Ovis aries: one gene and its partner. The protein of the gene in region 2 binds, or shares a complex with, the protein of the main gene of each other region. Links are inferred from orthologs where the notes say so. Each region holds a gene or a part of one and is shown on either strand. Other genes may lie near its edges.

Evidence for each region.
Region 1: the proteins of LLGL1 (region 2) and PRKCI are in contact, whole or in part, in a cryo-EM structure (PDB 8R3Y), measured with the Homo sapiens proteins. The link is inferred for Ovis aries from reciprocal best matches to the Homo sapiens genes LLGL1 and PRKCI. Residues at the interface, in NP_004131.4 of Homo sapiens: Ala315, Asp319, Glu367, His391, Ser392, Ala394, Thr396, Glu453, Cys483, Glu484, His485, Phe506, Asp507, Pro508, Tyr509, Ser510, Asp511, Pro513, Gln518, Lys519, Lys569, Ala600, Val601, Thr602, Leu644, Gly648, Pro649, Leu650, Ser651, Arg652; in NP_002731.4 of Homo sapiens: Asp339, Met341, Gln345, Arg348, Leu381, Asp382, Met399, Thr412, Phe413, Cys414, Pro417, Leu425, Glu445, Gly449, Arg450, Ser451, Gly457, Ser458, Ser459, Asp460, Asn461, Pro462, Asp463, Asn465, Thr466, Glu467, Asp468, Tyr469, Leu470, Phe471.

What each region holds. Positions count from the first base shown.
Region 1 is NC_056054.1:217,842,758-217,846,774, forward strand, and holds the start of PRKCI (protein kinase C iota type), read right to left. Parts: upstream 2,810-4,017; 5' UTR 2,567-2,809; coding exon 2,466-2,566; intron 1-2,465.
Region 2 is NC_056064.1:34,149,297-34,152,017, forward strand, and holds part of LLGL1 (lethal(2) giant larvae protein homolog 1), read right to left. Parts: coding exon 2,499-2,721; intron 2,373-2,498; coding exon 2,228-2,372; intron 2,154-2,227; coding exon 2,000-2,153; intron 687-1,999; coding exon 391-686; intron 1-390. UniProt on the Homo sapiens protein: Cortical cytoskeleton protein found in a complex involved in maintaining cell polarity and epithelial integrity. Involved in the regulation of mitotic spindle orientation, proliferation, differentiation and tissue organization of neuroepithelial cells.

The DNA.
Region 1 (4,017 bases), on a different chromosome or scaffold from region 2:
TATAAGTGACTTGCTTAGCTGCTGCTAAGTCACCCCAGTCGTGCCCGACTCTATGCGACCCCATAGACGGCAGCCCACCAGGCTCCCCTGTCCCTGGGATTCTCCAGGCAAGAACACTGGAGTGGGTTGCCATTTTATCCTCCTTTAAAAAAAAAATTATAATTAGAGCAGTACCTACATTCTAAAGTATACCAGACTTAGATTTCTTTGCAAAGGAGAAGCTTACAATGATTTTTAATTTGTATACTTGTGAGGCCTATTTGGGCCTGTATGGTATCAGCGGTAAAACATCAGCCTGTCAAGGCAGGAGTCACTGGTTCGATCCCTGGGCAGGAAAGATCCCCTGGGGAGGGAAATGGCAAACAGTATTCTTGCCTGGAAAATTCCATGGACAGAGGAGTCTGGTGGGCTACTATCCACAGGGTCACAAAGAGTCCAACACAACTGAGCAATTAAGCACAAGGCCTATTTGCAATTGTCAAACTAATAAAAACAGGAGAAAAAAGGAAGAAGCACTATTTTCATGTTTCATAGTTGGAATCATTGAAAACTACCTAAATTTAATGTCAAGAATCAGAAAAGTAAACCGATGAACTAAAATTAATAGCTTAACAATAAAAATTGAGAGGCATAAGGGAGCAAGGAAGCAGAGTGTAGGGTGCACCCAGTTTCTCATCCTTCAGAGGAAGGGATCACTAGATACCATCTAAAGTTGATAAGTCACAAAACGGAAGTATAAAACTTTAAAGTAAGAAATAAAGGCAATCTCCAGAAGAACAAGAAATGAACTATCAATCATAGTTAACTCTTGAGGTTGGGAGGACTGGATGGGGAACACTTTTCATTTTATCAATTATAGTTAACTCAAGGTAGGAAGGACTGGATGGGGAACACTTTTCATTTCATATTTTTGAACAATTTGCCTGTTCCTACTGTGTGTGTGTGTGTGTGTGTGTGTGTGTGTGTGTGTGTAAATCTAGCTTTTTAAAACTGTCAATAATCAGACACTATAAAAAAACAAAACGTACTATATTTCGTTCTCTGTACCTAACAACTCACAGGCCGTCAACTTTATAAAAGAGCAGATTCTAAAGTGAAATATCTCATCTGTCAAATTAAAGATAAGGTAAAGGAAACAAAGCATTTTTTTTCCAGTGCAAAGTACAGAGCTATTGTTTTCAAATCAAGACTTCCTTGATCAATTTAAGCAAAACCACTGCTACTGTCCAAAATAACTCCTTTAACTACTTCTGAATACAGTCAAGCTAATAAACAGAGCCCGAGGCTTCACTGCAGCAAACAAAATAATAAATCCTTTTATCAAATCAATAAGACACATAGAAGCTTATATTTTCTTGAAATCAAAACAAGGGAGGCATTTTGAAAGTTCGCTATCTTCACTGATCCTCTCAGGAATGTAAAAGTATGCACTGCAGTTTCAAACCTCCTAGTGCTTGAGTTTTTGGTTTTGTTTTTTTTTAAAGCAATTTACTTCTGCTTGGACAAGCAGTTAAGACAGGCCACAGAAGCTGGGTTTTCTGTTAGCCCTCAGTTTCAAACTTTTTTGCTCACACTAACAGTTGTTCCTAAGTGTAATTATCTCAAAAAAATTTCACACAGCAACTGAATTCAAAGGAAGGGGGACACTTCAGATTACTGATTACAGAATATGATTTAATACTGTGATTTTAGGACTGGGTTATTTTTGGTAACCACAGTAGTTGTAACTTAGATGATAATATGAGTAAAGATCACAGATTTTAAAACTGCTTACTCTCACCCTCTTCTCTTCTTGCAGTTATCTCACCCTATCGGACAAGACTTAGAGCAATGACAAAGAAGAGTTCACGGATTTTAATTTACACATACACAACCTAACCTAGGCAAGACCTAGTACCTAATGCATATCCCTGAAAACACATCAACTTTACTCAAATATAACCCCTACGTCTAATATATTGGCAGCCTGATCATATTCCTGATACATGTCGGGAACTCTTCTATACCAAGACAAATCTGACTTAGAAAACCAAAGGCTATAGGCCTGCTGGTAATCACAAGGATCAGCAAGTGGAAGCAATCCCGTCTTTAAAACCTAATAGTAAACTTAGTTAACTAAGGCATCACTCAGAATCAACTTTCAACCCCCAATACATCCAGACTTAAAACACGTAAAGCTCTTTGTAAATCTTAGTAGGCGAGTCTCTCAAACCCACCAAGGGGACCTACTTACTCCAAGGCTCCTCCCCAGGACCCTACTCAGGATTCTCAGCCGTGCGGTTCCAGGGCGTCCTGCACCACCACTGGTCGTCCTCCCCCGACCACTCGGCCATCCATCCCAAGTACCCCCGACTAGCCCGCCCAAACCATTCCTCCCACATCTCCAGCCCCACATTCGCCCCTCCTCCAGGCCAAGCCGAGCTGGTCTTTCCCCACCCCTGCCACCCCCGCCGCAGAACACTCACCCGCGGTAGTAGGCTTTCACCCGGACCTGGTGAGAGTGGTCCCCAATGCCGCCGCCTGCGATCGGGTGAGACATGGTACTGCTGTCTCTCTGGGTCGGCATCTCCTTATTCCCCCGCCTCGCCGGAGGCCGAGGGTGCGGGGGGCGCGCCGGGCGCCGCAGGGGACTCCGCAGCTCGAGCCTCTCGCGGAGCCGCGGCTGCCCTTTCGCCTACCTGTCGTCCCCGCCCGCGGCGCGGACCCAAGTGTCGCCTCGCCTGGGCAGCCGGAACCGCACGGCTCCTCCCACCGCCGGCGGCCGACTCTGCCTCTACAGCAGCCCGGGCCCTGCACGCCTCCCGCCTCCGTCCCTCCCACCTCGCTCGCTCCAAAGGCCCACATTCCGGGGGAGGGCGGGTGCAACCATTGATCCAAATCAAGGAGCCTCAATGTCCGGCTGAACCATTCTTAGGGGAGCAAGGCAAAGGGGAGGGAGGATGGGGACTGCTGAACATCATATCAGATTCCCCGGCAGGGGGCCTTGTGTGGGAGCTGTAACTGAGAGAATGTGAAGATTCAAATAACTATACTTTTGTAAAAAGCCCTCCCTACGAATATGGTTGGAGACAAGTGCTGTGGCATCTCACCCCAGTTTCCTAACTTGGTCGCGTCCGCGGTCAGCCGACTGGGGACTCGGAGAAGATTTGGAGTGCGGGTTTCTGGGATTTGGAGTCCCCGTGGAATTCTGGGACTTGAGGTTCCTTACAAGTAGAGAGCCCCGCCTTCTGTCTGTCTCCGGCTCCTGCCCCAGGAGACTTTGGCGTGCAAATCCTGAATCCACCTTGGGCATCCGAGGACATTGGAAATGATTGGGATTCGTCACACTCTAGACTTTCTTCTCTGCTAAATTCTCCTTCCAATTGCATAAATCATCTCAATTATACAGTACCTTTTTGGGAAAGAATTTGATTAAGGGCTCAGGATAGCGTCTTTTCGGAGAAGGCAATGGCAACCCACTCCAGTGTTCTTGCCTGGAGAATCCCAGGGACGGCGGAGCCTGGTGGGCTGCCGTCTATGGGATCGCACAGAGTCGGACACGACTGAAGCGACTTAGCAGCAGCAGCAGCAGCAGCATAGCGTCTTTTATGGAAGGAATGTAGTATAATATATGTAACAAATGTAATGATAAATGTAATGAAACTCAGAAGGTATGATGGAAGACTTGACTTTTCTTCCTTCTGCTGCCCCCCATATCTTGGCCCTTGTATATTGCCCTTGCATGGAACAGGTGCACAATGAATATTTAGCCAATCAGTCAAGCCATCCAACTAGCCATGCATCATCATTTATTTATTTATGGCTGCACTGGGTCTTTGTTGCTGCATGGGGGCTTTCTGTAGTTGCAGCAAGCAGGGGCTACTCCTCGTTGAGGTGTGGTGGCTTTTCACTGCTGTGGCTTCTCTTGCTGCAGAGCCGTGGCTCTGGGTGCAGAGCGGTGGCTCTGGCTCTTGGTTGCTCCCTCTGTCTGTGGGATCTTCCTGGACCAGGGATTGAACCGTGTGCTCCGCATTGGTA
Region 2 (2,721 bases):
GGAGTGGGTACTAAGCAGAGCCCGGGCCAGTACACACCCCAGTATCCCCAGTCTAGCCTGGCCCCCACCACCTCCTCCACCCGGCACCACCCACCCGGAGCTGCCACCCTGACCACAGCTCCACAGCCCAGAAACCTCCCAGGCCCCTCCACCTGTGGCAAAGCCAGTCACGCTGGGTGGTCAAGTTGGAAGCCAGTACCCCACACCACAAGCTCCTTCCAGACCACCCAAGGGAGTGCTCAAGGGTCCTGAGGGGCACCAGGGTTCCCCAAGGTGCCTCTGCCACGGCTGGAGGCTCTCAGGAGGTCCCAGTGAGCAGGGATGTATGCAGGCCAAGGGTCCAGGGTGTCCAGGAGACGAGAACCCCAAGGGGTCTTGGAGACTAATCACCTTGAACTGCTCCTCAGACGCGATGAGCACGGCGTGGCCACCCTGCATGTCAGGCGCCTGTGCAAGGTCCCGTGAGGCCTCGTAGGGCTCCGGCAGTGGACGGCCGCGCCCATCCAGCACCGCGATGGCTACCACCGGGGCACGGTGCATCAGCTGCACCTCCTTGCCCAGCACAGCCTCCACCGCCCGCTCTGGCCGCTTCTCACCACCCGCCACTGCCGCTGGGACCTCCAGTGCATAGGCAAACACGGAGCCCGAGTTGGTGCCCGCCCACATGGTGGGGCCATGGTGGGCCGCTGTGGGGAGACAGGCTGGTGAGGTGGGTGTGTGCCACCCCTCCCCTCTGGTGCCCTGGGATCCTGGACTGTCTCTCCTACATCCCTGGTGACTCCGGCCGGCCCCTGCAGGCACAGGAGTGACCTCTAGGGTCTCTCCACAGGCACATCAAACTGGACCCTGACCTTTTCAGACCTCTCCTAGCATCCCAGTGACGCAGCTCATCACCAGTCCCCCAAAGACTTGGACTTGGGCCCCACCCTCAGAGCACCCAGGCACCAAGTCCCGGGCCCATCCAGGATGCACACCACACAGTTCAACTCCCTTAGGAAAGGGAAGGCTCTTGAGTAGACAGTGAGCTAAAAACACTGGGGTGCGGGTGGACCGGGCAGTCACAATGTGCACCCTCAATGGCCTGGTGGCCTCAGCAACAATCTTGGGATGGAGGGGATACCCGAGCAACAAACAGGTGAGCAACAGGAAGCCATGCTTCTCAGGGAGACAGTGGAACCAGGTCACCCGGGCTGCCACATGTAGACAGTAGTAAGATCCCCCAGACAAAGGGGCCCTCAACAAATGACATTAGAAGTGGGGGGCTCCCCTCCCAGATGGAGGAGGAAAGAAGCAGAGATACCACGCACACGCGAGCTGGACGCTGACCCCATCCCAACTCTGAGAAGGCATTTCCGAGATGAATGGGGTCCCCTGTGGGCCGAGGGTGACAGGCAACAGTAGCCAGTCATCAGTAGCCACACTCCGGGCTTTGACACAGGCCCTGTGCCAGAAGTGACGTCCACCAGACACATCCTGAGCTGCCCAGTGACCTTCGTTACGTTTAAATCGTGTTTACAAGATACACGATGTATGTAGAACAGGTGGGCAGTCGGTGCGGGGCTGAAATGCCCCATTACCAAGTTAAATTGATTTGCAGCTCTGTCCATAAACCCCAATGCACCACTGCCCTAGGTAGGACCTGCCGGAGCTCTGGCCACTTGGGGTCAAAACCAGCTCCTCCCAGGCCTGCCCTCTGCTCCAGTCATACTGCCCAGGCAAGTCACATCCGCCTAGGCCTTGGGGCTACAGCCCGTACTTTCCCCAGATCCTGGGCTCCCTTCTCTGCCCAGGTCTAAGGCCCGCCCCACCCACTCACCGAGCCTCACCCTGGTTGTTCCAGGGGCTGCTGGGGGTCAGGGCACCCTGTCGCCAGCACAGCCTGGTACTCAGGAGGCACACTGTTTTTCAGCCTTCCAGAAGGCACAGGTCCACCCCATCACCCATTTCCCAGAGGACCAAGGACACACCACCCTTGGTTGCCCACCCCGCCCAGTCTCACCATCTCGAAGGAAGGTGTCTGCAAAGTAGAGACAGCGCACAACACCCGAGAGGGAGTCGTCGGCTGAGCGGGGCTCAATGCGGCGCTGCACGGGCGTAACCTCCACATCCTGGGGACCGGCCTGCTCCGCCAGCTGTGCGTTGGCCTCCTGCAACTGGAGGGGCGCAAGGTCGGGCCACCATCCTGCCCCCGCCCCCATCACCCTGACCGCCTTGCCTGCCGCCCCACCTTGCTGCCGGCGACCATCCGCTTCTTGCCCGATGCACGGCTCTTGCGGATGCGCCGGAAGGACTGGCGCAGCGACTTCTTGAGCGACTTCACACGGGACAGCGGCCCCTCCATGGCCAGGGAGTCGCTGGGGTGCAGGGTGCACCTGGGGGTGCAGGCCAGCCATCAGGGAAGCACAAGTCCAGCAGCCGAGGGGCAGAACTCCCCCAGCGGGGCCCTGCGAGGCTGGCAGTGCCCCCGTGAACCTCAGGAGGGGCTTGCTCACACCCACCTGGCCAGCACGGGGCTCCTGCGCAGGTAGTCAAAGAGGCCAAAGCCGTGACTGGTCCCGAAGGCCACGAGGCCCCACTCAGCGTGGAGTGTGACGGCTGTGACGGCGGCTGGTGGCAGGCACTGGATGAGAGCGCGGGGCTGGAAGCCGGCTGGCCAGGGCAGCGGTCCCAGGCGCGGGCTCAGCCGCTCATGGCCTTTCCATGTGAAGCCCTCGCGGTCCT